Oryctolagus cuniculus: one gene and its partners. The protein of the gene in region 4 purifies or fractionates together with the protein of the main gene of each other region. This does not show direct contact. Links are inferred from orthologs where the notes say so. Each region holds a gene or a part of one and is shown on either strand. Other genes may lie near its edges.

Region 1 (4,273 bases), on a different chromosome or scaffold from region 4:
CCACCCCGCGATGACCAGCAGAGGGCCACTGCCTGCTGTACAGTCAGCCCGAGTGCAGGGTGGGTGGGGGCTTTGCGCCTCCCGGCGGGGCTCAGCCAGCCGGCTCCCTCACCCCAACACCCCCTTTCCCTGCCCCACCCCGCCCCCTGTGCTCACAGCCTTCAGCCTCCCTCCCAGAGCAGCACGGAGAACACAGTGCATCCATCCATCCATCCATTCCTCACCTGTTAGCCCATGTGCATCTCTCTTTTTTAAATAAAGATTTATTTATTTGAAAGTTGGAGTTAGAAGGAGAGACGGAGCGCATTTGCTGGTTCACGCCCCAGATGGCCGCAACAGGACGAAGCCAGGACCCAGGAGCCTCATCCGGGTCTCCCACATGGGTGCAGGGGCCCCAGCACTTGGGCCATCTACTACTGCTTTCCCAGGTGCATTAGCAGGGAGCTGGATTGGAAGTGGAGCAGCCGGGACACGAGCCGGCGACCATACGGGATGCCGGGGCCCAGGCCACTGTGTAGTTGTGCCCCTCGCCCAGCTATTCCAGGCTGTGGTCACACCATCCCCTCGTGGGGCACCCCACATGGACCTGCAGAAGAGTCTGGGGGTGTGCCGCTCCGGCGAGTGGGGTCAGCACTCCCCCAGGAGAGCAGCCGTCCATGGTGGTGGCCAGGATGGTGGGGGGGAATCCCCTGCTCTGGACCCTGGCCAGGCGTCACCTCCAGGTCTCCGTAGGGCAGCGTCCTAAAGTCTTCAGGATGAGCCGAGAGGGCGTGGCTCATTACCCACGGGCCCCGGGCAGAGCGGCAGTTCCCAGGTACTAAGTCCCCCCCTCCGCCCCCGCGCAGGGAGATGCGATTCCCGTGGGGGCTCCAGGCTGCAACCAGGGTCCCTGTGGTTGCTCTGAGCCCCCAGTCCCTGTTGGCCGAACAGCTCCGGGAGGGCCTTCGGCACCAATCAGGAGCTCAAGGCGGGGTGGTGCACCTGTATCCCTCCACCCCCCTGTCACACCTGTCGCACTTGCTCCTCCCAGCGCTCACCCAGCTGCCCCCGCCAACAAGACGCCGGTGACCAGGGCCTCGTGGCTGTTGGCCAGGTGCCTTGGAGGGGCCGTCCACGCCTATCACTCTGACCACAAGACTTTCCTCGACCCCCAGCCACGGCCTCCTACTACCCCATGGCTCTGTATCTGTGCCGGGGCCTGCTGCGGTGCATTCCAAGGCACATTTCCAAAGAAGAGATCAAGAAGCATGGACAGCGGAGACAGGCGTAGCTCCGGCTTCCCGCTTCGCCGGGACCCAGCGGGCAGCGCAACGCTCCGACTGCCTGCACCCCCAGAGCCGCGCCCCCTGGCCCAGGCGTGGAGCGCGGCGGGGGCGTGGCCTCCGGGCTGACGCACGCGCAGAGCGCATCGGGGAAAATTTTTCTCACGCCTGCGCTAGCTCCTCCCCGCCGCTAGGGGGCAGTGAGCCGGTCCTGGCGCGGTAGGCGCCGCCGGCGTGACCCGGAAGCAGTCGCGCGGTCGGGTTTGGAGGCGGTGGCGGCGGCCGTTTAGTCGCCGGCGGGCCGCGGTGCCAGGATGAACGCACCTCCGGCCTTCGAGTCGTTTCTGCTCTTCGAGGGAGAGAAGAAGTAAGTGGAGCCCGGCGGGGCGGCGGAGGGTCGGGCCGAGGCCCGCAGCTCCTGCGTGTCCTGCGGGCTCGGGGGTCGGAAGTGTTCGAGTGTCCGAGCGGCCTGGGTCCGCCCAGGGGGGCAGTGCCCTGGGCACGCCGGCACTTGCGGGGACTTGCAAAGTGTCCTGCTGCAGAGTGCTGTGGTTCCGCGGGGCCCCGGCAGGCGTCCCTGTGGCGTCCGGCCGGCCACCCGCGTCCTCCCTCCACGCGGCGGCCTGCGCGAGGGCTCCGGAGCTCGGGTCCGCCCTGTCGGGGCCCGCGGTCTGGCGGCCACACATCTGGGCCGGGCTCCCGGGTCGCCCGCCTGCCCGCCCTGTGGTCCTCGGACGCGTGGCTTGGCCGGGCGCCCGTGGGAGCGCGCGGACCGTGGCTTTGGGGTTGCGCGTGGGAAGGAGTGTTTGTGGCTTGGCCAAACCGAGGGGCGCAGGCGTTGCGGGTCTCGCTCGTGGGGAAGTCGCTTGGGGAGGGTTTCGCGCGCGTCTAGGAAGCTGTGGCGTGGATTGCGTGCGTTCCGTGGTCAGCCGCGGGTGGAGCTTGAACGAGGAGGAGGGTGTTCGGGGGCTGCGCCGAGGGCGCAGGTGCGCGGTTGGGGCCTGCGGCTTCGTGATGAGAGGTGGTAGCCGCTGAGTGTGCCCTGTTTGTCCCATCAGCTGCCCCTGGCTTGGCTCCGGGAACGCCTGGTCATCCTAAGAGGCGGTGGTGTGGGCTGGGTCTGGCCGAGGCGCACTGTGCGCACCTGGAAAAATGGGCTGCTTGCACGCGCGCTGTGGTTAAGCACAGGGAGAGGTTAAGTGGGTTCTCGCGGGGGCAATGCCTTCCGAGTCTGAGCAGCCTAGGGTGCGGGGGCTGGGGTGCGACCCTTGTCGGCCGCTCGAGCCTCCCTGGGCACAGACTAGCAACCAGGGGAGCAGGCGTGGTGGTCCCGGGCGCCCCGGGCGCCGTGCAGCCCCCAGGGCGGGCCTGTGGCGCGGGGGGAGTGCCTGCTCCCGCCCTGGCTGCTCCACCTCCCAGGAAGCCGCAGGTGATGGCCCAGGGAGACCTGGCTCTCTCGTGGGCTCCTAGCTTCAGCGTCTCCCTAGCCCCAGCTGTGGCGGGCATCTGTGGAGTGAACCAGCGGAGAGAAGACCTGTGTGCGTCCCTCTCTGTGCCTCTCTTTCTTTCTCCTTTTTTTTTTTCTTTAAGTTTATCTGAGAGGCAGAGTTAGGTCTTATCTAGGTGGCCGCAACAGCTGGAGCTGAGCCGATCTGAAGCCAGGAGCCAGGAGCTCCTTCCAGGTCTCCCATGGGGGTGCAGGAGCCCAAGCATTGGGGCCGTCCTCCGCTGCTTTCCCAGGCGCATTAGCAGGGAGTTGGATTGGAAGTGGAGCAGCTGGGACTCGAACTGGCGCCCATGTGGGATGCGGGCACTGCAGGTGGCTTTACCTGTGCCACAGCAACGTGTTTATGAAGCACCCATTACCATCACAGGTGCTCACGCTGTGGCTTCTGGTATGAACGTGTTTTTAGTTTACACAGCGCCTTTTTTTTTTTTTTTTTTGACAGGCAGAGTGGACAGTGAGAGAGACAGAGAGAAAGGTCTTCCTTTGCCGTTGGTTCACCCTCCAATGGCTGCCGCGGCCGGCGCGCTGCGGCCGGCGCACCGCGCTGATCCGATGGCAGGAGCCAGGTGCTTTTCCTGGTCTCACATGGGGTGCAGGGCCCAAGCACTTGGGCCATCCTCCACTGCACTCCCTGGCCACAGCAGAGAGCTGGCCTGGAAGAGGGGCAACCGGGACAGAATCCGGCGCCCCAACCGGGACTAGAACCCGGTGTGCCGGCGCTGCTAGGCGGAGGATTAGCCTAGTGAGCCGCGGCGCCGGCCTACACAGCGCCTTTTGTATTTCCTTTCCCATGGACTTTTTAATTTGAAAGACCGAGAGGGAGGGAGGGAGGGAGAGAGGTCTTCCATCTGCTGGGTCACTCCCCAAATGGCCCCAATGGCCCGGGCTGGGCTGATCTGAAGCCAGGAGCCTCACGGGTGCAGGAGCGCTAGCACTTGGGCCATCTTCCACTGCTTTCCCATGCCCCAGCTGAGAGCTGGATGGAAGTGGAGCAGCCGGGACTTGAACCCACTGCACCACAGCACCAGCTCCCATGGACTCTTCCGCTGCTTTAAAATTTTTATTTTTTTAAAGATTTATTTATTTACTTGAGAGAGGAGAGGCAGAGAGAGATCTTCCATCTGCTGGTTCACTCCCCAGTTGGCTGTAATGGCCAGAATCGCACCAGTCCGAAGCCAGGAGCTTCCTCCGGGTCTCCCATGTGGGTGCAGGGGCCCAAGCACTTGGGCCACCTTCTACTGCTTTCCCAGGCCATAGCAGAGAGCTGGATTGGAAGTGGAGCAGCCGGGACTCGAACCATATGGGATGCTGACACTACAGGTGCTGGCCCCTTAACATTTTTAATTGACACATAATACTTGCACATTTTTAAAAACGTTTATTTGAAAGTCAGGGTCACACAGAGAGGGAGGGAGGGAGAGGGGTCTTCCATCCTATGGTTTATGCCCCAGATGGTTGCAATGGCCAGAGCTGCGCCGATCTGAAGCCAGGAGCCAGGAGCTTC
Region 2 (4,152 bases), on a different chromosome or scaffold from region 4:
GCCAGTAATTTTGCCTTACGAACTTTCTTTACTTGGGGTTCTTAGTGTCTCTATGACCATTCCCAGACCTTCTCCATTCTGAGTAGGGGTCTCCATTCTGAGTAGGGGTAGCAGAGTGAGCAAAAGGGTACAGAAGAATCTGCCAAATCTCATTCTTCTCTCACCCTGTGAAGCCGCTCCTGGGAGCCACGTGTAAACCTCCGCTTCAATCTGAATTATTCCACTGGTGCTGAAATTTAGCGTGCCAAACCTGGGAGAGGAACCAGTGCTCCTGGTTTCTCAGATGCATTAGGAGCGAAGCACTGTAGCCAGAACAAGCATTCTTCCTCTATCAACGAGACAGATACATTTATCACAACGGAAGTCTTAAGGCCCCTGGCCTTATTACAAAGCTCTTTCTGCACTATCAGTGGGCCTATAAACTTTAATAGAGGAATTTTTCTTTTTAATTCCCAAATAAGTTGTGAGATGTGGTAAGTTGGTGTTTAAACAGAACGGATGGGCTGCAGCTGGCAACTCCAGAAGCACAGCTGGGAAGCAGGTGATTTAAAAAAAAAAAAAGCCAAGTCCCTGGGCAAATTGTGAAGCCTAGGGTGGTCATTATTATAACTGGAGAGTTGTTACATAATTACTTGTTAACTCCTGGCAAACACATACATAGCTACAAAATGCCATGGTTACCCTAGCCTTTGAAGCTGGTGTACCTGGTACAAGAGTCAAGGTTTCTCCAATTAATTTCATTCAAAGAAATAAGCAATCCTGGGACCTATTCCCTTCCAAGGTAACTCGCCAGCTTTTCCGTATACAAAACAGCCTCCCGCAATTAAGCCTATCGCCTCTAGGGATGAAAATCAGTGTTTCTCTTTAATACTGATTTTTAAAGAGGAGAAGATATCCAGAGGTACATTCAGAGGGCTAAATATTCATCACCTCTAAAAAAAACCAACAAACAAAAAAACCGACTTCCATTCCCAACTGGAAAACTGGAAGATCCCCCCCACCTCCGTCCCTGCTCGGCTGGCGCAAAACGCCAAGACCTCGGTGTCGGAGGCACTGCATTCCAACATTTTTCAAAAAGTTTACGGGGATTTACTGAAGCGGCGGAGAAAAAAAAAATAAAGCACTTAGAAGCGGAGGAGAACGAGCAGAGGGGTTTCGGCAAGGAAGCCGCCAGCGAAGCGCCTGGCGGCGCCGTGCAAGGCCCGATAACCGGGAAGCGACCCGGCACCCGAAGAGCGAGCGCCCCCGTGGAGCGCCGGGACTGACAACCGCTCGGTCTCCGTCGCCCGGGGTCCCCGAGCCCCCTCAGCCCGGCCCCCGCCTCCAATCCCGCTCCCCGACCCTTCCCCCGCAGCGCCGGCGATGCCCGCCGGGCCAACTTGGCCCCGGGTCAGCGCTGCGGAGCGCGGCCCCGGTAGCCGCGGAGGCCGCCGGCGCCCTTACCTCTTTCTGCTTGGGGTCCTGCGGGTAGACGTCGGGCGGCCCGAGCCGGGGGCGCTTCAGCGGTCTCTGCTCATAGCTGAGAAGCCCGAAGGCGGCCATGATCTCTCATGTTAACCGGCGAAATGAATGAGAGTTGGAGCAGCCGCCTCTGAGCACCAGGGAGCAGCACTTTGCAGACAGACTCCCTCTCTCCCCCTCCGCTCGCTCGCTCGCTCGCTGTGGCGCTGCAGGCAGGAATAAAGCAGGCTGGATGCTGCCGTGCCGGGCACGCAGACACGAGCTGATGGGGGCAGCCTTCCGCGGGCACCGGCTGCGCTCGGGCCCCGGGACGCACCGCTCCGGTGCCGGCGGCCGAGGGGCTGGAGGTCTGCCAGGGTCCTCCGCGGCGCCTGCCTCCCGCCCACCCCTCTCCACCCTGTCCCCAGGGGGAGGAGCAGCTGATGGGAACGTGTGACTTTTTTCACCAATGGACCCAAACCCACCTCAGCTGGGCGCAGGATGGGCGTGGGGGAAGGGCACGAAGGGGGGAAGAAAGAAAAAAAAAAAACTTTCTTGGCGCCTAGGAGCGGTGGCTCAAGTGCTCGTCCCAGGCGAGGGTGGCCCTGATCCCCGGGGAAGAGGCTGCAAAGCGGCCCGCCCCCGCCCCTCTTCCTCGTCGGGGACCCTCCCCCGGCCGCCAAGCGCCCTGTAAGACCCCGCCACCTGGGCTCCGACCCGGCCGGTGCGGAGGGCAGGAGGCCAGAACAGGCTCGGGGAGACGGGGATTCGGACGGTGGAAGCGGCCGGTGCCTCCTAGACGCCCGCCAGGCTCCGGTGGCGCATCCGCGGCTGGGGTCCCCCTCAGCGGCTCCGGGCAGACGCCGAGGCGCGCTGCTGGCGGTCGCAGCGGCCGCGGCAGCTGGAGGGGGCCGTGCTCACCGTGGCGCGGGGCCGACTTAACCCTTTGCTGCCCCCTCCAGGGGCTGGGATGGGGGCTCCGGCGGGGTGGGGATGGCTGAGAGCGCCGACGGGGGCGGCCAGCCGCAGGCGTGCCGGGCTCCTCCAGCCAGCCGCCCTCCCCGGCCTCGGCGCCTCCTCCCTCCCCACCCCCACCCCTAACAGTTTACCTGTTGGTCCCTGGCTAGCGGGCAGGGGCCGGCGGCGGCGGGGGCACTCCTGCGGCCGCAGCCTCCATCCTTCGGGTTGGGAAGGGGGGATTGGATTGGATCTTATTTGTGATCCACCTCGCCCGGACGAGCTCCGGGGACGCCGCGAAGTTTGCGGCTGTCTGGGGGCGGCGAGCGACGCCGGCTCGCCGCCGGCGTTCTCGCCCCCACGGCCCGGGAGCGCGAGCTTCCGAGTTGGCGGACAGCGGCGCGGCGGCCGCACTGAGCATGCCCAGCTCGGTGGCCGGACCGCGGAGGAGTTGGCTGCGAGCGCGCTCCGATCCGCCTCTCCGGGTTTTCGCAGCCGCAGAGCGCTCAGCCCGCGGGCCCCGGCGCTGGGGCTGGCCCTGGGGTGAACCTGCACCAGAGCGAGGGCGCCCTTAGGAGCCCCCTGTTGGCCTAGGGCTGAGCTCTCCCTCTCGACCTCCCCTGCGGTCGCTGTCCCCGTGGCCTGGGCCGGAAACCTCACCTGCGCGGGACGCGTGGATGGGAGGGGGTGGTCCTCCGGCGGAGACCGTCACCTAACCCGCCCGCGCTCCCCGCGCGCTTCGGGGCGTGGGCACCGAGATGCTGGGCCACCTGCCGGGAGACCGAGGCCGCGGAGGCGTGCCCAGCCTGCCCCCGAGGGACGCCGCGGGAGGCGCGCCCGGGAGGATGCACCCGCACTTGGCCAAGAATGATGGCTGCCATTTACGGAGCCTCCGCTTCGTGCTAGGATCTCGACAGTCAGAATCTCGGATGCTTACGACAACCGTGCATGGCTTTCCTGCACCCTTTCTACAGATGGAGAAATTGAGTCCTTTGCGGGGGGGGATGAGGGGGTTCAGGGTCCTGCTCGAAGCCAGGAAGCGAGTTGGGATTTGAACCTGCAACTGCCCGATCCCAAGTTTCCGTCCTCTATCCCATACTTGGAGCTGGAAGGACTGGATGCTCGCCCATCCTAGCCTGATTGTTCCCCAGGGCTGGAGGAATTCCTTCGACGTGATGCAGGCACCATCTCACCTGAAGCTTGTGTACAATGCCTGATACACAGTGGATGCCCAGGAAATGTTGGTCGAATCAGAGGGTCTACTTACCTCTGCCGACTTTAAAAAAAAAAAAAAAAGAAAGAAAGAAAGAAAGAAAAGAAAGAGGATGTAGACAAAGCGACAGCAGGGTGGCCGAGCTGGTTCCTCACTCCAGACCTTGACCTATGAGCATCTCCAAACCCAGCCTGAGACGGAGTCGGGCCTGTAGAGTGAGTTCTTCCCAACCACTTTCCCCACCTCTGTCGCCGGGACTTCGCCTTCATGAATACCCTAGCGTGTAACTCATACCTGGATTTGCCCTTGTCATATGGGCAACTGTCAAATCTAGTTCTCCTGCTTCACAGGCAGGGCAGACTTTTTTTCATCTAACTTTATCATGAAGATGATCAAACATAACAAAACCCGTAGAAATGGTATAAGGAGCCCCTAAATACTACCATATGAATAATCTCCTGGCTGTAACAATTATCAGAAGTTCACCCTTCTCTCTCATTATCTTCTCCATCCCCAGTACACTGACACACTAGCAAGAACAG
Region 3 (4,262 bases), on a different chromosome or scaffold from region 4:
CGTCATCAGTGCAGCTGAGGCTGGCCACGTCTCTGACAAAACAGCCGCCTTACATATTCATGAAGCAGCTGCCTTTGCTGACGTTTACCAGGATGAGTATTAAACAGATGCGTATTTTTGTGGCAATGTTGGGCTTCCTGAAAGCAGCCCAGGCAGGATTTTTCTGACATATGCTTGCAGCATTACAAAACTTTACTCTTTGTCACTAATTATATGAACTATTTATAGGGCAAATTGTCAATACCCAGTATTTGCTCATGCATCTAACATTTTCAATTTGTGGGTTTTTTTGTTTGTTTTTTAGCCATATCTATTTATACCTGATTTTTTTTTTCTTTTTAAAGGACGTTCTCATTATGATGCCAATGACAAATTCGGGGCTTGTGATCAAACACGCTGGGAGGGGAAAAAAAATGACGCACGTTGCCATGGGGATATTATTGATGACTATTAGATTGCTTCTCAAATTCTGAATAGAAAGCCACGTTAACATTTTGAATCATAAAGTTACAAAACTAGCAGAAGCCTGAGGAACCTGGCTGAGACCATAGGTTTGGCGTTAGGCAAACTGGGTGACCCTAGACCCACACCCATTGTTAAGTCTCAGTTACTTTGTCTTTAAAATGGGGATGCTTTGGAGTTGGCGTCCTAGCGCTGTGGGTTAGGCCAGAGCTTGGGACACCTGCCACCCACACTAGAGAGTTGTTTCAGGTCCCGGCTGCTCTGCGTCCCATCCAGCTCTCTGCGGGACACCTGCCCCCCACACTAGAGAATTGTTTCAGGTCCCGGCTGCTCTGCCCAGCTCCCTGCTAATGAGCCTGGGAGGCAGCAGATGATGGCCCAGGTGCTTGGGCCCCTGCCACCCACGTGGGAGTCCTGGATGGAGTACCTAGCTCCTGGCTTCAGCCTGGCCCAGCCACAGTTGTTGGAGGCATTGGGAGAGAGAAGTATCCGAGAAAAGATTTCCGCGTGTCTATCACTTTGCCTTTCAAATAAAAATAAATTTAAAAATGTTGAACAGTTGTTTTAAAAAAATAAAATAGCGGGTCGAAGCCATGGTGCTGTGGGTTAAGTCGCGGCCTGCAGCGCCGGCATCCCATATGGGCGCCAGTCTGAGACTCGGCTGCTCCACTTCCCACCCAGCTCTCTGCTAAAGGCCTGGGAAAAGCAGCAGCAGATGGCCCAAGTACTTGGGCCCCTGCACCCGCGTGAAAACCCTGAACGAAGCTCCTGGCTCCTGGGTTGGCCCTGGCCCAGCCCTGGCCGTTGAGGTCACTTGAGCTAAATCGCCTGTTTCTGACTAATTTACTTAACTAGACTCGCAACCAAATCCAGCCTACACCAGCCCGCCCACCGCATGTCGCCTAGCAACAGCCTCCTCCCCTCACGCCTGCGCTTTTACCCCGCCCCCTGCTCAGTGCGCATGCTCAGATCCGTGCGTCCGGCCCCGCCCCTGCGAGGCGCTCAGCAGTGACGTGTAGAGTCCGCGACGCTCCCGGCGAGCCGAGCCGGTGAAGTGGGGGAGTTGGCTCGCTGGACCGAGCCCCGGGGCCATGGCCTCGGCCGGGGTGGCCGCTGGGCGACAGGCCGAGGATGCGTTACCGCCACCGGCCGACCCGCCGCTGACCGAGACCAAGCCGTTGCCGCCGCCGCAGCTGCCGCCACCGGTGGCCGCGCCCCAGCCGCAGCAGTCGCCGGCGCCCCGGCCCCAGAGCCCCGCCAGCATGAAGGAGGAGGAGAACTACTCCTTCCTGCCGTTGGTTCACAACATCATCAAATGGTAAGGAAGGGCCCCGGAAGAGGGGGCCCCGCCGCCGCCGCTGGCGCTGGCGCTAGGAGGCTGCAAGGGTGCGTCCCCATTTCTCGGGCGGGCAGGCCGAGGCCAGGGGGTGGGCAGGGGCCTCTCCCGAGAGCTCGCGGCGCCTGTCCGGGCGCATGGGGGCGCCGGGGGGCGCCGTGCTCTATGCGGGGGACACTTGCTCCGAGCTGGCCGGCACAGGTGGCCGGGGGCCTCGGGAGCCTGGGCAGCGTCCCTGAGGCTCCGTAGGGTTAAGACGCGCTCTGGTTTTCTCCTCGTCTTCAGCACATCCCGCAGAGAAACATCGTCGGGACTGCATAGCGTTCTGCTAGGCGTTACGGGGTGCGCACGGTAAAAGGGGCCGACTGCGGGCCGGCCTTGTGGCGTAGCAGGTAAAGCCGTCGCCTGTAGCGCCAGCATCCCGAATGTCTCCAGTTCGAGTCCCGGCTGCTCCACTTCTGGTCCAGCTCTCTGCTGTGGCCTGGGAAAGCAGTGGATGATGGCCCAAGTCCTTGGGCCCCTGCACCCACGCGGGAGACCTGGAAGAAGCTCCTGGCTCCTGGCTTTGTTCGGGCTATTTAGGGAGTGAACCAGTAGATAGAAGATCTCTCTCTGTTACCCATAATTATGTTACCCATAATTCATACAGATTGAGCCTGCAGGGCTGAGATGGCCTGCAGAGACACAGAAATCGCCTCCACCGGGCCTGGACTAACTTGATCCCAGCCTACCTTGAAAGGATATGGCCGTGCTGTTGGCCAGCCCTCAGGGGAGCCCAAGCTTTCGGACAGACAGGCTCTGGAAAGGAAAAAACAAAAACAGACAAGAAACCAAAGTCCCCCCCGTTCCACGCTTGCCTGAGTGAGTACGCCGCTGGCGCTGACGTCACGGAGTGGTGCCTGGGAGAGTGAGGAGGTGCAGCCGAGGCATCGGCCGCTTGCTGCAGGCAGACACGTCCCAACGGGACATGCGTGGTGTTTGGCCTTTCGTGGAAGTAGGAGGAGTACGTTCTGAAACAGCAGTGAGAGGTATAGGACAGCCAATACGAGGATTGTTTTGAAAGTTCACGGAAAAGTGCGTATTATGGAAAGATGTGTATGGGTTTCATTTTATTTTTCAGGGATTGGTTTTACTTATTTGAAAGGCAAAGTGATAGGGAGGCAGAGAGAGAGAGAGATCTTCCATCTGTTGGTTCACTGCCCAAATGGCCACAACGGCCGGCCTGGGCCAGGCTGAAGCCAGGAGCCTGGAACCCCATCCGGGTCTCCCACGTGGGCGACAGGGGCCCCAAGCACTTGGGCCATCCCGGCTGCTTTCCCAGGCGCATTATCAGGGAACTGAATTGGAAATGGAGCAGCGGGGACTTGAGTAGGTCCTCATGTGGGATGCCAGCATCAACGGCTTGTGCCACAATGCTGGCCCCTGAACCAAAATTTTAGTTCCATTTTTCCAGTAACTTTTTTTTTTTTAATTCATTTGAAAGGCAGAATTACAGAGAGGCAGAGAGAGAGAGAGAGAGAGCTTCCACCCAATGGTTCACTCCCCAAATGGCTGCAACAGCCGGAGCTGTGCCGATCTGAAGCCAGAAGCCAGGAGCTTCTTCTGGGTCTCCCAAGCAGGCAGGGGGCCAAGGACCTGGGCCATCTTCTACTGCTTTCCCAGGCCATGGCAGAGAGCTGGATCGGAAGTGGAGCAGCCGGGACTAGAACCAGCACCCATATGAAATGTCGGTACTGCAGGCGGTGGCTTTACCCACTACGCCATAGCGCCGGCCCCGCAGTAACTTTCTGAAGTTCCCTGTATGAGAACTGGCAGTGCAGTCGGTTTCTTTCCGTCGGAGTCACCACGAACAAGGTTGTTTTCAGCCCCGTTTTAATCTCATGCCACCATTCGTCGTGTGTGTAGTCTGTTGTTGGCTGACTCACGACTCAGTGCTAGATGTAAACCCCCAGGCTTGCCACTCGAGCTCAACCATTTAAAACCAAAGCAAGCTAAACTTGACACCACCACCATTGCGGGGGCGTTCAGGTTGAAGGTTGATGGGCTTGCCGATGCTGTGCTGAGATGGAGTCGCTGCTGACAACGTGGACTTTTTTTTTCTTTTAAAGATGTATTTATTTGGAAAGAGTTACAGGGTCCGATGTTACCTGCGGTGCTGCCTTCCCATATAGGCACCGGGTCGAGTCCTGGCTGCTCCACTTCGAATCCAGCTCCCTGCTAATGGCCTGGGAAAGGCAGCAGAAGATGGCTCAAGTGTTTGGACTCTGCTACCCGTGTGGGAGACCCAGAAGAAGCTCCTGGCTTTCACCTGCCCCAGCCCTAGCTGTTATGGCTGTTTGGGGACTGAACCAGCGGGTGCAAGATCTCTCGCTCTGTCTCTCCTCTCTAAGTTTGACTTTAATTAATGAATAAATCTTAAAAAATTTTTTTAAAAAAGGAGTTACAGTGAGAAGAAGAGACAGAG
Region 4 (3,500 bases):
GAGAAACGTCTGTTACATGTTTTCACATCAACAGTGGATAACATATCAGACAGGAGACCTAAAGTATAGCAGCAGCCTTTTTGGAGGAATGGAAGATAATTACCTCAACCAGAGTAACTCCTGAAGGTGGTATTTTACCATGCTAAGAGTACTAGGGTAACTGCAGCTTTGGGGGTGAATAAATCTGAAGTTGGTGAGAAACATTACCAGAAATTTGATCCCAGTATGGCTGTTTAGCATGCTTTTCTGCTGTGAATAAACATTACCTGCCCCAATAGCCCACTAATAAGTTATAGGAATTAGTCTTTAAATAGCAGGATCATAACAGGTTGGTTAGAAAAGGGTTTAATTTAGATAGTCCTACAGATATTCTAGTTATTTCTGTCTCATGTCATCTGTTCTCCCTCAGTGTGTGTATTTATGTATTTATATATATTTATACACACATATATAATTGTTTTTTTTTTTTTTTTTTTTTAATATTTATTTGAAAGACAGTGACACAGAGAGACTCTTCCATCTGCTGGATCATTCCCTAAATGCCCGCAAACAGCCAAGGCTTGGCCAGCCAAGAATCTCCCTTGTGGGTTACAGGGACTCAAGTATTTGAGCCATCATCTATTGCCTTCCGGGTGCATTAGCAGGGAGCTGGATCAGAAGCAGAAAAGCTGGAACTTGAACCAGTGCTCTGATAACGGGATGCCAGTGTTCTAAACGTGGCTTAACCCACTGTGCCAAAGTGCCTGCCCCTCATTATTTTTCTTATTAGAAAATGCAGTTAATTTAGAAGAATTGAGGTTATGATTTTCTTAAATTGGAAATTGGAATGTTTGTTAAAATGACAAATTTGTCTCTTTATTTTACATATACAGGAGATTCAGAAAAGAAAAAAATACATATTCTTTTCACAGATTTTTTCATTTGAGAGGCAGAGACATATACACATAAAACAAGAGAGCACTCCCATCTTCTGGCTCACTCCCCAAATGCCCACAACTGCCAGACTGGGCCTGGCCAAAGATGGAAACTAGGAATTCAATCCAGGGTTCCCACATGTGTGGCAGGAGTCCAATTACTTGAGCCAATGCTGCTTCCTCCCAGGGTTTTTATTAATAGGAAATTAGAGTCGGGAGCTGGAACTGGTGTATCAAACCCAGGTGTTGTGATAAAGGATGTGGTCTCTTAACTGGCATCCTAATCAGTAAGCTAAACGACAACCCCCATAGACACGTTTTTAAAAATAATGTATGATGCAGCCGATAACAGTTGATTATCTGCATATTCCAGATTTGAAAATGTAGCTGAAATTTTTCAGTGTGTACTGAGGAAAATTAACATTTCAAAGATGTTAATGCTTTTGTGAGAGTGTGTGTGTGTGTGTGTTTTAAAAGCAGCTTTACTGTTTTAGGGGACCCACGGAGACCATACCCAACTGATTTGGAGATGAGAAGCGGATTATTAGGTCAGATGAACAATCCTTCTGCTAATGGTGTGAATGGTCACTTACCAGGGGATGCACTTGCAGCGGGCAGACTGCCAGGTACTGTTAACTGGAAGAATGTTTTCCAGCAGATCCAGGTTTTTGTGAGGTAACAATGATGGGATGGCTAACTGTTAAATAAAAATTTGTGACATTCCAGACCTGTGTCAGTTTAATAGCAAGGTACTCTGCCAGTGTCTCCTGCTCTTTGCTAGAAACCTGTAGATGGTGGTTATGAAATTAGAATGAGCTGCCTTTCTCTCTGTTAGTGTTCTGCCATCCTCCTCAGGCATGGGTATTTCCTCTATTTTTATTGTTGTAAACAGCCTTTTTGCAGTAGTGAAACATGCTATGTAAAGAGAATAAATACATATTTTGTTGACTTGTTTTGATGTATTGAAACTTTTGGAAAGCAAAAAGACATAAAGAGAAAAAATCATCCTTTCTGAGAAGGTCTATTATGTTACTGAATATGATTTGTATGCATCAGTTTTGTTAGCTGCCTAGAGCACAAATTGGCGACCTCGCTGCCTATACTTGTTTTCTGGGATATCGCTTCGTCTTTCTGTGATTGTACTGGCTAATACTTGGGTGCTAGTCAGGAGACAGAAACCACACCAGTCATTTAAACAAGGAAAGCTTACATTCAGGAATAATAGATATGGGAAGCAGCTACTCCATCTAGAAACAAAACAGGGTATCCTAAGAAGGGGCAGACTGGAGGAATGTTCTCTCCACCCCCATCCCATTATCATCACAGAGCTCTCTCCCTGGAGAGGCTGAAGTGTAGCCCTGGCCTACTCCTGGTAGTCAGAGGCCAGAGCTGGCATGCAGGAAATTACCCACTGGGGTTCCGGGGAGACATCCTGGGAAGCCACCATTTGGGATTTTGGAGAAACCTACTGAGAAACCACCCATAGGGATGGTCTTGTACTTGGTCCTGTACACCAGCCAGGCACAGTGGGAATAAAGGCAAAACAACCCACCCAGGAAGGCTGTTCCTCTCAGGGTGTCAGTAGTGCCATCTGCTGGCAAAGAAATGGTTTCAGAGTGCAGGAGGAAGAGTAGATTGGAAGCTAATTGGCATACCTGTGTAGTTAATACTGTAATACTCTCTTCTGGCTCTTCTCAAATTTTACTTCTTTTAGCCTTAAGTTATACCTGTTCATGTGCTCTGTTCTTTTTCTTCAAAAACAATATATGCTCTTAATGTGACATGGGCACTTCATAAGATGTTTCTTATACATATATTGCCAATCAACTTCTCTTTGGTCAGAATGATTTAAAATAGCCGTTTCGCTCTAACAAATTGTTCACATCTATGATATTTCATGTAGTACAGATATTATCTATTTATAATATATTGAATAATATGTGTGGTAATATATAATTATATATAATATATATAATTATATGGGCATATATAATATACATAGAGAAAACATTTCATTTGTAATTGTAAACATCTTGTAAAACAAAAATTGTCAGCTCACTATTGATTCTTGTAGAAGACTATAATTTTAAAAGAAAATGTCCCTACTAAAACATCACATTTTTCCTTGCTAGTCATAAATTTAATCACTAATTTGACCATATGTGGATTTTTTATTTCTAGCCTAAAAAAAGTACTTCAGATTGTTTGCATAAAGGGAAAAGTAGCTGACAGGCTGATTGATTACGAATAGGACTATTTTTATATCTGCTTTGTTCTTTCTCCAGATGTTCTTGCTCCACAATACCCGTGGCAGTCAAATGATATGTCAATGAATATGTTGCCACCAAATCACAGTAATGACTTTCTGTTGGAACCTCCTGGGCATAATAAAGAAAATGAGGATGATGTAGAGGTCATGTCAACGGACTCTTCAAGCAGTAGTAGTGACTCTGACTGAAAAAAGAAAAATGGAAGACAGCATACAGAATTGAATCCTGTAGAATTCTGTTTCTTAAACAATAGCAGAGAAATGTAAATTGCAGATTTGTAAGGAAGAACCAGGTAAATGTTGTTATGGTGAAATTG
Region 5 (3,500 bases), on a different chromosome or scaffold from region 4:
AACCAATTATAGAGCATATCTGTTACCCTAAAAAGTTCTTCTGTGCCTTTTCCTGGTCGTGTTTCTCTGCCAGAACCACTTGTCGATCTAATTTCTGTCGCCATGAATTATTTTTCCTCTTTTAGGAATGGAATCGCTTACTATGTGCTGGTCATGTGGAGTTCTTTTCCTCAGCATTATATCACGCTATCAGTAGGCTGTTTCTTTGCTCAGCAGTACTCCACTGCGTGAGTTTATCCCAGTTTATTCTGTTGATGGGTACCTGTGCTGTTTCTGTTTTTCTTGCTTTGAATCATGGGCTGTGAGTATTCAGGTACAAGATTTTTGTGGACATTGTTTTTATTCCTCATGGTGAGTACCAGGACTGAAATTTCTGAGCCATAGGGAGATGTGTATTTGTAAGAAACTGACAACTTTCCAAAGTGGTCATACCACTTCATACTTCTGTTAATGATGTATGAAAGTTCTGGTTTTCCCCAGCCTTGCCAGCATTTGGTATTTTCATTGTTTTTCATTTTGATCCTTCCAGTAGGTGTCTAGTAGTCTTAGTGTCATAGCAGGCTTTAATCCTTTCAGGTAATTTTCTAGTTCTTTGTATAAATTAAATTGGAAAAGAAGATTTTATATTGAAGTATTCAAGATGATTGAAGTTCTCATCTAAAAGCAGTTTATTTCTATTTGAATGAAGTTGAGAGGGGTTAGAAATTACTCTTTAGAAGGATGTGGTAACTGTTTATCATTGTGTTCTCAGCCATTTTATACCGTTGTTATGGATTGCCATTTAATGTTTTCTTTTTATTTATTAAAATATTTCTCTGCAAATTTTTTCGATGTTTAATTTGTTTTGAGGTGTTGCAATTTACTGAGGTAGCTGCAAGAAAGAGTGTTTGCTTTACTTTTACTTTAAAATGTAAGTTTTCCACATGTTGCCACATTGATTTCATGTGTAGACAGTAAATCTCCATGCACATGTGCAGTGTTTTTTTCTTGAAAACGAATATATCACAAAGTGAGGATTCGTGCCGGTGAGCATAATGTGGAAAGAAGGGTGTATTGTCACATAAGTGGTATGCTTCAGTGAGGCAGTATTGTGACTGTTCCAAATGATGTGAAATCCACACAGATTTATACTCTACATACTAACTTCCACAAATAAGAGAAAACGTGGTATTTGTCTTTCTGGGTCTGGCTTGTTTCACTTAGCATACTGATTTCCAGTTCTATTTTGTTGCACATGTCAGAATTTCATTCTTTTTAAAGGCTGACTAGTATTCTATCTTGCATATATACACTTACCTGATAATCAGTGGATGGATATTTAGGTTGGTTCTATATTTTTGCTGTTGTCAATTGAGGCATTGTAAACATGGGAGTGCAAGTACCTCTTTCATATGTTGATTTCATTTGCTGTGCTTATATTCCCAGGATTCCAAACCAGGTTCTATGGTAGACATATTTTTAGTTTTCTGAGGATTCTCCATACTGTTTTTCACAATGGTTACACTAGTTTGCATTCCCACCAACAGTGTATTAGGTTACCCTATTTTCTGCAACCTTGCCAGCATTTGTTATTTTCTGAGTTTTGTATAGGACATAATAATTGAAGTGAGGTGATACCTCTTTGTGGTTTTTGTTTGTATTTTTCTGATGGCTAGTGATCCTGAGAGTTTTTTCATGTCTATTGACCATTTGTATTTTTTTGAAAATGTCTATTTGGAGTCATTGCCATGGTGTAGTGTAGTGAGTAAAGCCTCTGCCCGTGGCCCCAGTATTCCCTATGGGCACTGGTTTGAGTCCTGGCTGCTCTACTTCCAATCCAACTCCCTACTAATGCACCTGGGAAAACAGCGGAAAATGGTCCAAGTGCTTGGGCCCCTGCACCCACATGGGAAACCCAGAATAAGTTTCTGGCTCTTTGCTTCCGATCAGCTAGCTTCAGCAGTTGCAGCTGTTTGGGGAGTAAGCCTGTGGTTGGAAGATCTCTCTCTCTCTGTCTCCCCTCCCCCAACTCTGCTTCTCAAATAAATAAATTTTTTTAAAAAGTTACCAAAAAAGTGTCTATTTGTATCCTTTGCCCATTTCTCAATTGGATTGTTTGTTTTGTTTTTGAGTTTAAGCTCCTTATATATCCCAGATATTAATCCTTTATCAGATGAATAGTTTGCAAGTATTTTCTCCTATTCTGTTGGTTGTCTCTTCACTTTGTTAATTGTTTCCTTTGCTGTGTAGAAGCTAATTAGCTTGATGTAATACCATTTGTCTGTTTTTGCTTATACTGCTTCTGGGATCCTACCCAAGAAATCTTTGCTTAGGCCAGTGTCTGGTGTTTCATGTTTTTGACAGTTTTAGGTCTGAAGTTTAGATCCTTGATCCATTTTGAGTTGATTTTTGTATAGGATTAATGTAGGGAATCTGTTTTAGACTTCTACATGTGGAAATTCAGTTTTCCCAATACCATTTGTTGAAAAGACTACCCTTCCTCCAGGAAATGACTTTAGCTTGTTTGTCAGAGTAGTTGGTTGTAAAGTGTGGGTCAATTTCTGGAGTTTCTGTTCTGTTCCATTGGTCTATAGGTCTATGCTGGTAGCTCCATGTGTATGTCTTAAAATCTAGTATTATGATGTCTCCAGCTTTGTGGGTTTGTTGTTGTTGGGTTTTTTTTTTTGTAAAGATTTATTTATTTGAGAGGCAGAGTTACAGAGGGACAAACAGAGAGAGAGGTGTTCATCTGCTGGTTCACTCCCCAGATGGCTACAATGGTTGGAGGTGGGCCCAGGAGCTTCTTCCAGGTTTCCCACATGGGTGCAGGGACATAAGTGCTTGGGCTGCCTTCCACTGCTTTCCCAGGCCACCGGCAGGGAGCTGGATCAGATGTGGAGTAGCCAGAACTTGTTAGACTTTTTTCATTATGGAGGTTAATGCTGTTGAGTTAAAACCAATTTTACTTTTCTGTTTTATCAAGCTTGGGATAAAGAACTTTTATGAAAATTCTTTACTCTTTGATATTTTTTTATTTTAGAGGGGAGGAGTTACACTCAGAGATGGAGTGAGGATGGAGAGAGATCAGTCTTCAGTCTGCTGGTCTACTGAAAAAGGCACAACAGCCAGGGCTAGGCCTGGTCTAAACCAGAAGCCTGGAACTCCATCTGGGTCTCCCATGTGGGTAGCAGGGGCCCAAGCACTGCTTTCCCAGGTGCATTAGTGGGGAGCTGGATCAAAAGTGGAGCAGCTGGGACTTGAACTGGTGCTCATATGGGATGCTGGCGTTGTAGGTATCAGCTTAACCCACTGTGCCATAGTGCTGCTGCCCCCCAAGAATTATTTTGATAATAAGACACAGTTCTTTCAATTTCCTTTTTTTAATTTGAAAGTCAGAGGCGGGGGGTTGGGGAGGGTCTTCCATCTGCCCCAAATGACCGCAATGGCTGGAGCTGGGCCAATCAGGAGCCAGGAGTCTCCTCTGGGTCTCCCACATGGGTGCTGGGGCCCAAGCACTTGGG
Region 6 (4,260 bases), on a different chromosome or scaffold from region 4:
TGGGCACAGTCAGGAGGGTGGCGCCGCCTGAGCCCCAACACTTCAATGAAATAATGACTCAACCTTCAGCCGGATTAAAGGCACATATCCGTTCCTAGGAGTGCCCAACCGAAAAAAAAATTAAAAAAAAAAAGGCCTTAAAAAGGCAAGCCAAACGATTGCTTTTAAAACGCTGCATCTTCCGGGCACTTTAATTGTCCTTAGACAGATGGCCCAAGCTCGGCTGCGGGCGCCGCACATGCTCGGAGGGAACCGACTCGAGCGCCAAGAAGAGGCTGATTGGCTGCTGGGGCTCAGAAGTTACTCGTCCTCCTTATCGTAAGGCAAGAACTAGGAAACCGCTGACTCTACAGGTTTTGAAATACGGTTTCTGCATCGTAAAGAAAAACGATTAACCTATCAGGAAGAACCAAGCCTATGCAATTACCAATCCAGAGCGGGAAAGCAGCCAGAGCCCGGGGACACCACGCACCACGGCGGACGTCATTCTCTAGCCTCCGCCAATGAGCGACGGGACGGGGGCGGGCCGCTCGCCGCGGAAAACAAACAACAACCTGCGTTACAACTGTCCTGACCAGTCCTCCCTCTCGAGCCCTCGGAGCGCGCTGCTGCGCGAGGCGCCCTGCGTGTGACACAATTCCCACGCCCCTTCTGGCCCGGAGTACCTCATCCTAGCAGAGCAAGGGCCGCCGACACACCCACGCCCACAGTCTCTCACGAAGCACCCTCCAACTTTGCGCCTTCTACCTTCACAGGAACTGGTAGCCCAGCGCTACCTGAGGGGGAGGGGCGGCCCCAGTGCGCACGCGTGCGTGCTATGCGGGGGCGAGGCTGTGGAGGCCCGAGGTAGTCTGGGAGCTGTATTTCTCGCGCGGGCCGAACGTCCACGGCCCCTGGGGCCTGAGGAACTACATTTCCCAGGAGCCTTCGCAGCTTTGGGGCGGGCGGGCTGGCTCGTTAATGAGCTCGAGGAAGCCGCGGCGCGGCCCACCAGGTTCCAAAACAAGGAAATGAAGGGGGGAGGCGGGACCGGGGGTGCCTGCGGGAGCTGCCGCCGCCGCCGCCGCCGCGGAGGAGGAGTAGGAGGAGGAGGAGGAGGTGGAGGGGGTGGCTGCCGCGGCCGCCGAGGAGTCCCTTGCTGAAGGCGGACCGCGGAGCGGCGGGCGGCGCGCGCGCGCCCGAGAGGCGGCTGTTGGAGAAGTGGAGCGGCGGTCGCGGGGGGAGGAGGCAGAGGAGGAGGAGGAGGAGGAGGGACTGAGCGGCGGCGGCCCCCGCGTCCCGGTGCCTCTATGGGGGAAGCAGACAATGGATTATGATTTCAAGGCGAAGCTGGCGGCGGAGCGGGAGCGGGTGGAGGATTTGTTTGAGTACGAAGGGTGCAAAGTGGGACGCGGCACCTACGGGCACGTCTACAAGGCGAGGCGGAAAGATGGGTAAGAGCAGGGGCGGGGGAGTGAGCTCGCTCCGATCCTCGCCCTGCCCGCGACCCCGCGGGATGGGTGGGTCGGAGCTCGGGCGCGCCGTGCCCCAGGGGCGAGGCGGAGGTGGGCGCGGGGCCGCGTCCCGGGGCGGACTCTTGAGGGACGCCCGCTCTGACCGCTCCCCGCGCGGCCCCTTCGCGCCCCTCGAACTCCCGCGGCGCAGCCCCGTCGGGGGGCCGGTCCCGTTTGGTGGGCGCCCTCCGCGTGCCTGGAGCCGGCGGCGGGACTCCAGCTGGGACCTCGGCTGGAGGTGGAGTTGGTGGGGTCTGTCTCGTGGGGGAGACGCGGAGGGCTGGAAGAGCCCCCGTCGCGGAGTTGGCGCTCCGGCCCTGGGCTGCTGACGGTCGCTGAGGAACTTCCAATCGGCTGAGCGCCTCTCGGGGGCGGCGGTTTGAAACCTGGCGGGGGAAGCCAGGCGGGCGGACGGGCCGGCTGGGCGCCGCCACTCTCAGCCGCGACCTCTGCCTCGCGGGCCCGTCAGCCCGGTGGCCCCTCAGCGCTGTCGCTCCGGTCCCAGTCGACCCTTCCTCCCGCGCCCCTCCGGTTTCGGGGTCTCACTTTCTGAATCGCACACCTTCTCCTTGGAAGGTGGGACCACCGCTTCCTTGACAGGAACCGCGTTTTGCCGGCGGTAACTTCAGAGTTCTTTCAGTTCCGCGTAGCACTGCCCGGGGGTCTCGGGCATTCTTGCGCCCTGCACCCCGGGCGCTGGCCGTGGACTGCGCGCTGGGGCTCTCGGAGCATGCAGGTTACTCCGAGCGGAATACGGAGTGACGGGGCAGGGCCCGAACCTCTGTTGTCCTGGGAGTTGAGGGAGACCCGTGGGAACCCCTTGGGAAGCTGGATAGTGGGCAGCGGAGCTCGCACAGCGGGACAGGTGGAACCAGCTCCCTGCCTTCGAGCGGTGGCTTGCAGCGGGTCGTCACCTCTCGTCCCATCCCCCTCGCCCCGGAACTCCCCTCCCCCGGTGTCAGGGCGCCACGGAAAGTCTGCCTGTCCTGCCTAGACCCCACAGACGGTCCAAGTAACCGGAACAGAGTTTTCAGAATTGTAACGGAGTGTTCTGAGTGAAGTGTTGAGCAGCCACACGACGTAAGACTCAAAGTGCTGCACGCTCTTGTAATCTGATGTGGTTGGTTTATGAATTCTAGAGCCAAGTAGGTAGATTGTGTGTGCTAATTTCGTAAGAGGAACAACAAAGCACAGTTTTATAAAGTATTTTATCATAAAGCATCGTGAAATTGTTCAAAGGCTTATCCCAAGTTTACAGGATTGTTACTGCAGGTAGCTTTTTTCTTTAATAACTGAACAGGTTCTTTAGTACGCAGTTTCTCAGTTCTTTTAGTTAATTACCAGGTATCCTTGCATGCACATCATGGAATCTGAGGTACTGTAATTAAGTTGTATCTTGTTTTCGGAATGTCCACTCGACCTGTTTTACTTGTGCTTCTGTGGATATATTTGGGGAATGCACACGAAGTTTTCCGGATTGGACATTGATGTAAAATAAATATGAGGTGCGTTTTTTTCCATACTCCTCACGCAGACTTTGTAATATACCTCAGAATTTTAAAAATGTATTTTTTTTTTGGATAAAATAGCATTCTTTTAGCAGACTACTTTTGAGAAGTTAAACAAATGTGCTTCTGAATTGTATTTGAACAGGACAGGCTTGCAAGAAGAAGTAATTTAATTCCTGCTCTTTGTTCTTTTTGAATATTTGTCCTTTTAATAAAGTTCTTGATTGGAATACACTCCTTTCTTGAGTGAAATTTATTAATTAGAATTCATAAACTTTCATTACTAGAGTAAGGTCAGTTTGTGCATTTTCAGTATATTTGTTGTGTAGGATCTGAAAGCATTAAAGAACTATTTTACATATATGAAAAATCATAATGAACTTTTTTTTTCTTGGACTGAAATTTTAGTTTAGATTTGCAACTTTCTGATAAACACCTTCGGTAATGGGGTCAGTTAGGTTCATATCAGTGATTTGACAGAATACAAAGTTTTTGCTGATAGTCCCTAAACTCTGATGCAGATTTACATTGTAAAGGATTTTTATATTATGATCATAGTAAATACATTAGCTCTGTTTATAAAAAATTTTAAAGATATTTTAGGGAGCAAGAGATAGATTACATGGGTGCATTAAAGAGAAATTATTCTGGGGATGGGTGTTTGGCGTAGTGGTTAAGATATGACTTGTGGGGCCGGCGCTGTGGCTCACTTGGGCACCAGCATCCGATATGGGCGCTGGGTTCTAGTCCCAGCTGCTCCTCTTCCAGTCCACCTCTCTGCTGTGGCCCGGGAAGGCAGTGGAGGATGGCCCAGGTGCTCGGGCCCCTGCACCCGCATGGGAGACCGGGAGGAAGCACCTGGCTCCTGGCTTCAGATGGGCGCAGCTCGCCAGCTGTAGCATCCATTTGTGGGGTGAACCAGTAGAAGGAAGACCTTTCTCTCTGTCTCTCTCACTGTCCAATTCTGCCTGTCAAATAAAAAAAAATAAAAATAATAATAATAAAAAGATATGATTTGGGACATCCATGCCCTCTATCAGAGTGCCTGGTTTGAAGGTCTGGTTCCACTCTCCATTCCAGCTTGCTGCTGGTGTGCACCCTTACAGGCAGCAGGTGATAGCTTGAGAAGACGGACCCCTCTCATGTCTGGGACCTTGATTGAGTTCAAAACTCCTGCTTTTGGTCAGCCCCAGCCCCAGCTGCTGCAGGCATTTGGGGAGTGGACCAGTAGGTTGGAGATCTGTCTCTTTGCCTTTCAA
Region 7 (3,500 bases), on a different chromosome or scaffold from region 4:
GAGACCCAGAAGAAGCTCCTGGCCTCAGATCAGCTCAGCTCCAGCCGTTGCAGCCATTTGGAGAGTGACCCAGCCAGATGGAAGTGCTCACTCTCTCTCTAACTATGCCTTTCAAATTAATAATATAAATCTTTTAAGCAAAAAATGATGACGTGCCCTTCACAGGTGACAGCGTCTGCCCCGACATGTGCTTCGCATTTATGGAGTACCCACATGTGGTTCTCATGGGCCAGGGAGAACTACCAGAAGGATAACTGCCACGTGTCTTTCCTAGGAGCTCGTCCGTCAGCGAGGAGTCTTAGAACGCACGGAGAAGATGGTGGACAAGATGGACCAAGATTTGAAGACCAGCCAGAAGCACATCAACAGCATTAAGAGCATGTTCGGGGGCCTTGTCAATTACTTCAAATCCAAACCCGCAGAGGCGGCCCCTGAACAGAATGGCACCGGCACCCCCCAGCCCAACAGCAGGTGAGTGTAGCAGAAGTGGGCTTTGGCGTGAACGGAAGACTTCCAGGCCTTGGCCGAGCCATGAGGGGATTCAGGAAGCCTGTAAGTTATACTTCAGGAGGGTTTTGTGTTAACCCATCTTCCCACGCCTGATTATATGTATTTGATTGGCACCTAGTCTGCAGATTGTGCATAAGTTGGGTTTCCAGTAAATTCCTGCTATACTGATTGTCACCCCAGTACTGAGAGTGTTCACCTCAGAAAGTTAGATCAGGCTGTAAGGGACTCCCTACACAATATCTGTACTTTATTTTTTTAAAAGATTTATTTTATTTATTTAACAGACAGAATTACAGAGAGAGGTAGAGACAGATAGAGAGGTCTTCCATTCGCTGGTTCACTCCCCAGATGGCCACAATGGTCAGAGGTGTGCCAATCCAAAGCCAGGAGCCAGGAGCTTCTTCTGGGTCTCCCACGTGGATTCAGGGACCCAAGCACTTGGGCCATCTTGTACTGCTATCCCAGGCTGTAGCAGAGAGCTGGATCAGAAAAGGAGCAGCCAAGACTAGAACTGGCGCACATGTGGGATGCCGGTGCTTCAGGCCAGGGCTTTAACCCGCTATACTGCAGAGCTGGCCCCAGCAGTATCTGTACTTTAAAAAGTCATTTTTCCCACCCAGGTGTTCTACATATAATTCAATTTGCCCATTGCTTTTCACTTTTTTATTTATTTTCATTTACTTAAAAGATACAGGGGCAGACACTGTGGCACAGCAGGATAAAGCCCCAGACTGCAGCACTGGCATCCCATATGGGCACTGGTTCAAATCCTGACTGCTCCACTTCCAATCCAACTCCCTGCTAATGTGCCTGGGAAAGCAGTAGAAGACGGCCCAAGTCCTTGGGCCCCTGTAGCCACGTGGGAGACCCGAAAGAAGCTCCTGGCTTCGGATTTGCTCAGCTCCAGGCATTGAAGCCATTTGGGAAGTGAACCAGCAGATGAAAATTTCTCTCTGTCTCTCCATAACTCTCTTTCAAATGAATAAAAACAAATATTTTAAAAAATAATACAAAAGGCATAGAGGGATTTTTCCATCCACTGGGTTACTCCCCAAATGCCCACAACAGCCAGGGCTAGACCATGCTGGAGCCATGAGTCAGGAATTCCATACAAATCACCCACAGAGGTGGCAGAGCAATAAGGCCTTGAGCCGTTGTCTGCTGCCACCTGGGAGCCTCAGCAGGAAGCTGGACCTGAAGCAGAGGAGCTGGTCCTCAAACCAGCACTCTGCTGTATCGGGCTGTAGTCTTCCCTGAAGCTGAGTGGGTCTGGGAAGAAAGGAATGTTGGTAAAGAGCCAGTAATGGTAGCAGAGAGAAGAGGTGGGGGAGGCTCCGGGCGTCTGGATCGGACACTGCAGGGAGGAAAGCAGGCCTCTGCAATGCCCTGGGGCTACTCCCGTAGATGCACCAGGGTTGATTTGTCTGGCTTAGGCCCAACCACCACTTCGCGCAGATTTTCCAGCTTGACCCTGATTTTAATTAATTACTTCTGAGATTTATTAATTCATTTATTTGAAAGGCAGAGTTACAAAGAGAGAAAGAGGGAGAGACAGAAGCAGAGATTTTGCATCTGCTGGTTCCCTCCCGAGATGACCATAACAGCCAGGCCTGGGGCAGATTCAAGTCACGAGCCAGGAACTTCATCTGAGTCTCCCACGTGAGTGCAGGGGCCCAATTACCTAGGCCATCTTTGCTGTTTTCCCAGGTGCTTTAGTAGGGAGCTGGATCAGAAGTGGAGGAGCCGGGACTCAAACCAGCACTCATAAGCGATGTCAGCATCACAGGTGACAGCCCTACCTGCTATGCTGCAATGCCGGCCCCGACCCTAACTTTAAATCCCTGTCACTCTTTCTCATAACAGAATTGGGTTTTCCTTTGGCTGCTTTTTTTTTTTTTTTTTTTTTTTTTTTGACAGGCAGAGTAGACAGTGAGAGAGAGAGACAGAGAGAAAGGTCTTCCTTTTTTGCCGTTGGTTCACCCTCCAATGGCCGCCACGGCTGGCGTGCTGCAGCCGGCGCACCGCACTGATCCGATGGCAGGAGCCAGGTACTTATCCTGGTCTCCCATGGGGTGCAGGGCCCAAGTACTTGGGCCATCCTCCACTGCACTCCCTGGCCACAGCAGAGAGCTGGCCTGGAAGAGGGGCAACCGGGACAGAATCCGGCGCCCCGACCGGGACTAGAACCCAGTGTGCCGGCGCCGCTAGGCGGAGGATTAGCCTAGTGAGCCGCGGCGCCGGCCTTCTTTGGCTGCTTTTAATTATAGATGAGTATCCCTCATCAGAAATGCTTGGGACAGAAGTGTTACAGATTTTAGTTTTTTTTGGATTTTGGAATATTTGCATAGACTTTACCAATTGAGCATTCCTAATTCCAAAATGCTCCAAGATCTAAAACTCAGCAGCGCTCAAGAAGTTTCAGATTGGGGGCAGGGCAGGAGTTGTGGCACCGCAGGTTAAGCCACACTTGGGACACCTACATCCGATGATGGAGCACCAGTTCAAGTCCTGGCTGCTCTGCTTCTGATCCAGCTCCCTGCTAATGCTCCTGGGAGGCAGCAGAGATGCAGCGAGTCAAGTACTGGAGTCTGTGCCACCCACCTGGGAGACCCACATAGAGCCTGGCTCCTGACTTCAGCCTGGCTCAGCCCTGATTGTTGGTCGTTTGAGGACTGACCCAACAGATAGAAAATCTCTTCCTCTCCCTCTGCCACTCTACCTTTGCAAATAAATAAATCAATCTTTTTCTAAAAAGGTTTAGGGTTTTGGAGCATTTAGGATTTTAGGTGTTCAGGCTAGGATGCTCAACCTGTGCCACAGGAAAGGTAGGATGTTCATTTAGTTTATTTTTTTTTTAAGATTGATTTATTTATTTGAAAGTCAGAGTTACACAGAGAGGAGAGGCAGAGAGAGAGAGATCTTCCATCCCCTGGTTCACTCCCCAAGATGGCTGCAATGGCTGGAACTGTGTGATACGGAGCCAGAAGCCA

What was found.
Region 1: the proteins of MED4 (region 4) and POLR2J purify together in Homo sapiens (affinity purification with mass spectrometry; 3 studies listed by BioGRID and IntAct, with this or other methods). This does not show direct contact. The link is inferred for Oryctolagus cuniculus from reciprocal best matches to the Homo sapiens genes MED4 and POLR2J.
Region 2: the proteins of MED4 (region 4) and MED12L purify together in Homo sapiens (affinity purification with mass spectrometry; 3 studies listed by BioGRID and IntAct, with this or other methods). This does not show direct contact. The link is inferred for Oryctolagus cuniculus from reciprocal best matches to the Homo sapiens genes MED4 and MED12L.
Region 3: the proteins of MED4 (region 4) and MED9 purify together in Homo sapiens (affinity purification with mass spectrometry; 10 studies listed by BioGRID and IntAct, with this or other methods). This does not show direct contact. The link is inferred for Oryctolagus cuniculus from reciprocal best matches to the Homo sapiens genes MED4 and MED9.
Region 5: the proteins of MED4 (region 4) and CCDC138 purify together in Homo sapiens (affinity purification with mass spectrometry; 3 studies listed by BioGRID and IntAct, with this or other methods). This does not show direct contact. The link is inferred for Oryctolagus cuniculus from reciprocal best matches to the Homo sapiens genes MED4 and CCDC138.
Region 6: the proteins of MED4 (region 4) and CDK19 purify together in Homo sapiens (affinity purification with mass spectrometry; 7 studies listed by BioGRID and IntAct, counting the BioPlex papers as one, with this or other methods). This does not show direct contact. The link is inferred for Oryctolagus cuniculus from reciprocal best matches to the Homo sapiens genes MED4 and CDK19.
Region 7: the proteins of MED4 (region 4) and SNAP29 purify together in Homo sapiens (affinity purification with mass spectrometry; 3 studies listed by BioGRID and IntAct, with this or other methods). This does not show direct contact. The link is inferred for Oryctolagus cuniculus from reciprocal best matches to the Homo sapiens genes MED4 and SNAP29.

The regions. Positions count from the first base shown.
Region 1 is NC_091450.1:44,084,269-44,088,541, reverse strand, and holds the start of POLR2J (DNA-directed RNA polymerase II subunit RPB11-a), read left to right. Parts: upstream 1-1,473; 5' UTR 1,474-1,576; coding exon 1,577-1,629; intron 1,630-4,273. UniProt on the Homo sapiens protein: Core component of RNA polymerase II (Pol II), a DNA-dependent RNA polymerase which synthesizes mRNA precursors and many functional non-coding RNAs using the four ribonucleoside triphosphates as substrates.
Region 2 is NC_091435.1:130,278,715-130,282,866, forward strand, and holds the start of MED12L (mediator of RNA polymerase II transcription subunit 12-like protein), read right to left. Parts: upstream 2,801-4,152; 5' UTR 2,550-2,800; intron 1,668-2,549; 5' UTR 1,543-1,667; coding exon 1,444-1,542; intron 1-1,443. UniProt on the Homo sapiens protein: May be a component of the Mediator complex, a coactivator involved in the regulated transcription of nearly all RNA polymerase II-dependent genes.
Region 3 is NC_091448.1:66,357,005-66,361,266, forward strand, and holds the start of MED9 (mediator of RNA polymerase II transcription subunit 9), read left to right. Parts: upstream 1-1,462; 5' UTR 1,463-1,553; coding exon 1,554-1,780; intron 1,781-4,262.
Region 4 is NC_091440.1:67,111,463-67,114,962, reverse strand, and holds part of MED4 (mediator of RNA polymerase II transcription subunit 4), read left to right. Parts: intron 1-1,408; coding exon 1,409-1,540; coding exon of another isoform or gene 1,541-1,584; intron 1,585-3,146; coding exon of another isoform or gene 3,147-3,155; exon of another isoform or gene 3,156-3,199; coding exon 3,200-3,372; 3' UTR 3,373-3,500. UniProt on the Homo sapiens protein: Component of the Mediator complex, a coactivator involved in the regulated transcription of nearly all RNA polymerase II-dependent genes.
Region 5 is NC_091433.1:100,007,045-100,010,544, reverse strand, and holds part of CCDC138 (coiled-coil domain-containing protein 138), read left to right. Parts: intron 1-125; coding exon 126-227; intron 228-3,500.
Region 6 is NC_091436.1:60,781,398-60,785,657, forward strand, and holds the start of CDK19 (cyclin-dependent kinase 19), read left to right. Parts: upstream 1-1,460; 5' UTR 1,461-1,495; coding exon 1,496-1,731; intron 1,732-1,764; exon of another isoform or gene 1,765-4,260.
Region 7 is NC_091452.1:29,626,593-29,630,092, forward strand, and holds part of SNAP29 (synaptosomal-associated protein 29), read left to right. Parts: intron 1-274; coding exon 275-471; intron 472-3,500. UniProt on the Homo sapiens protein: SNAREs, soluble N-ethylmaleimide-sensitive factor-attachment protein receptors, are essential proteins for fusion of cellular membranes.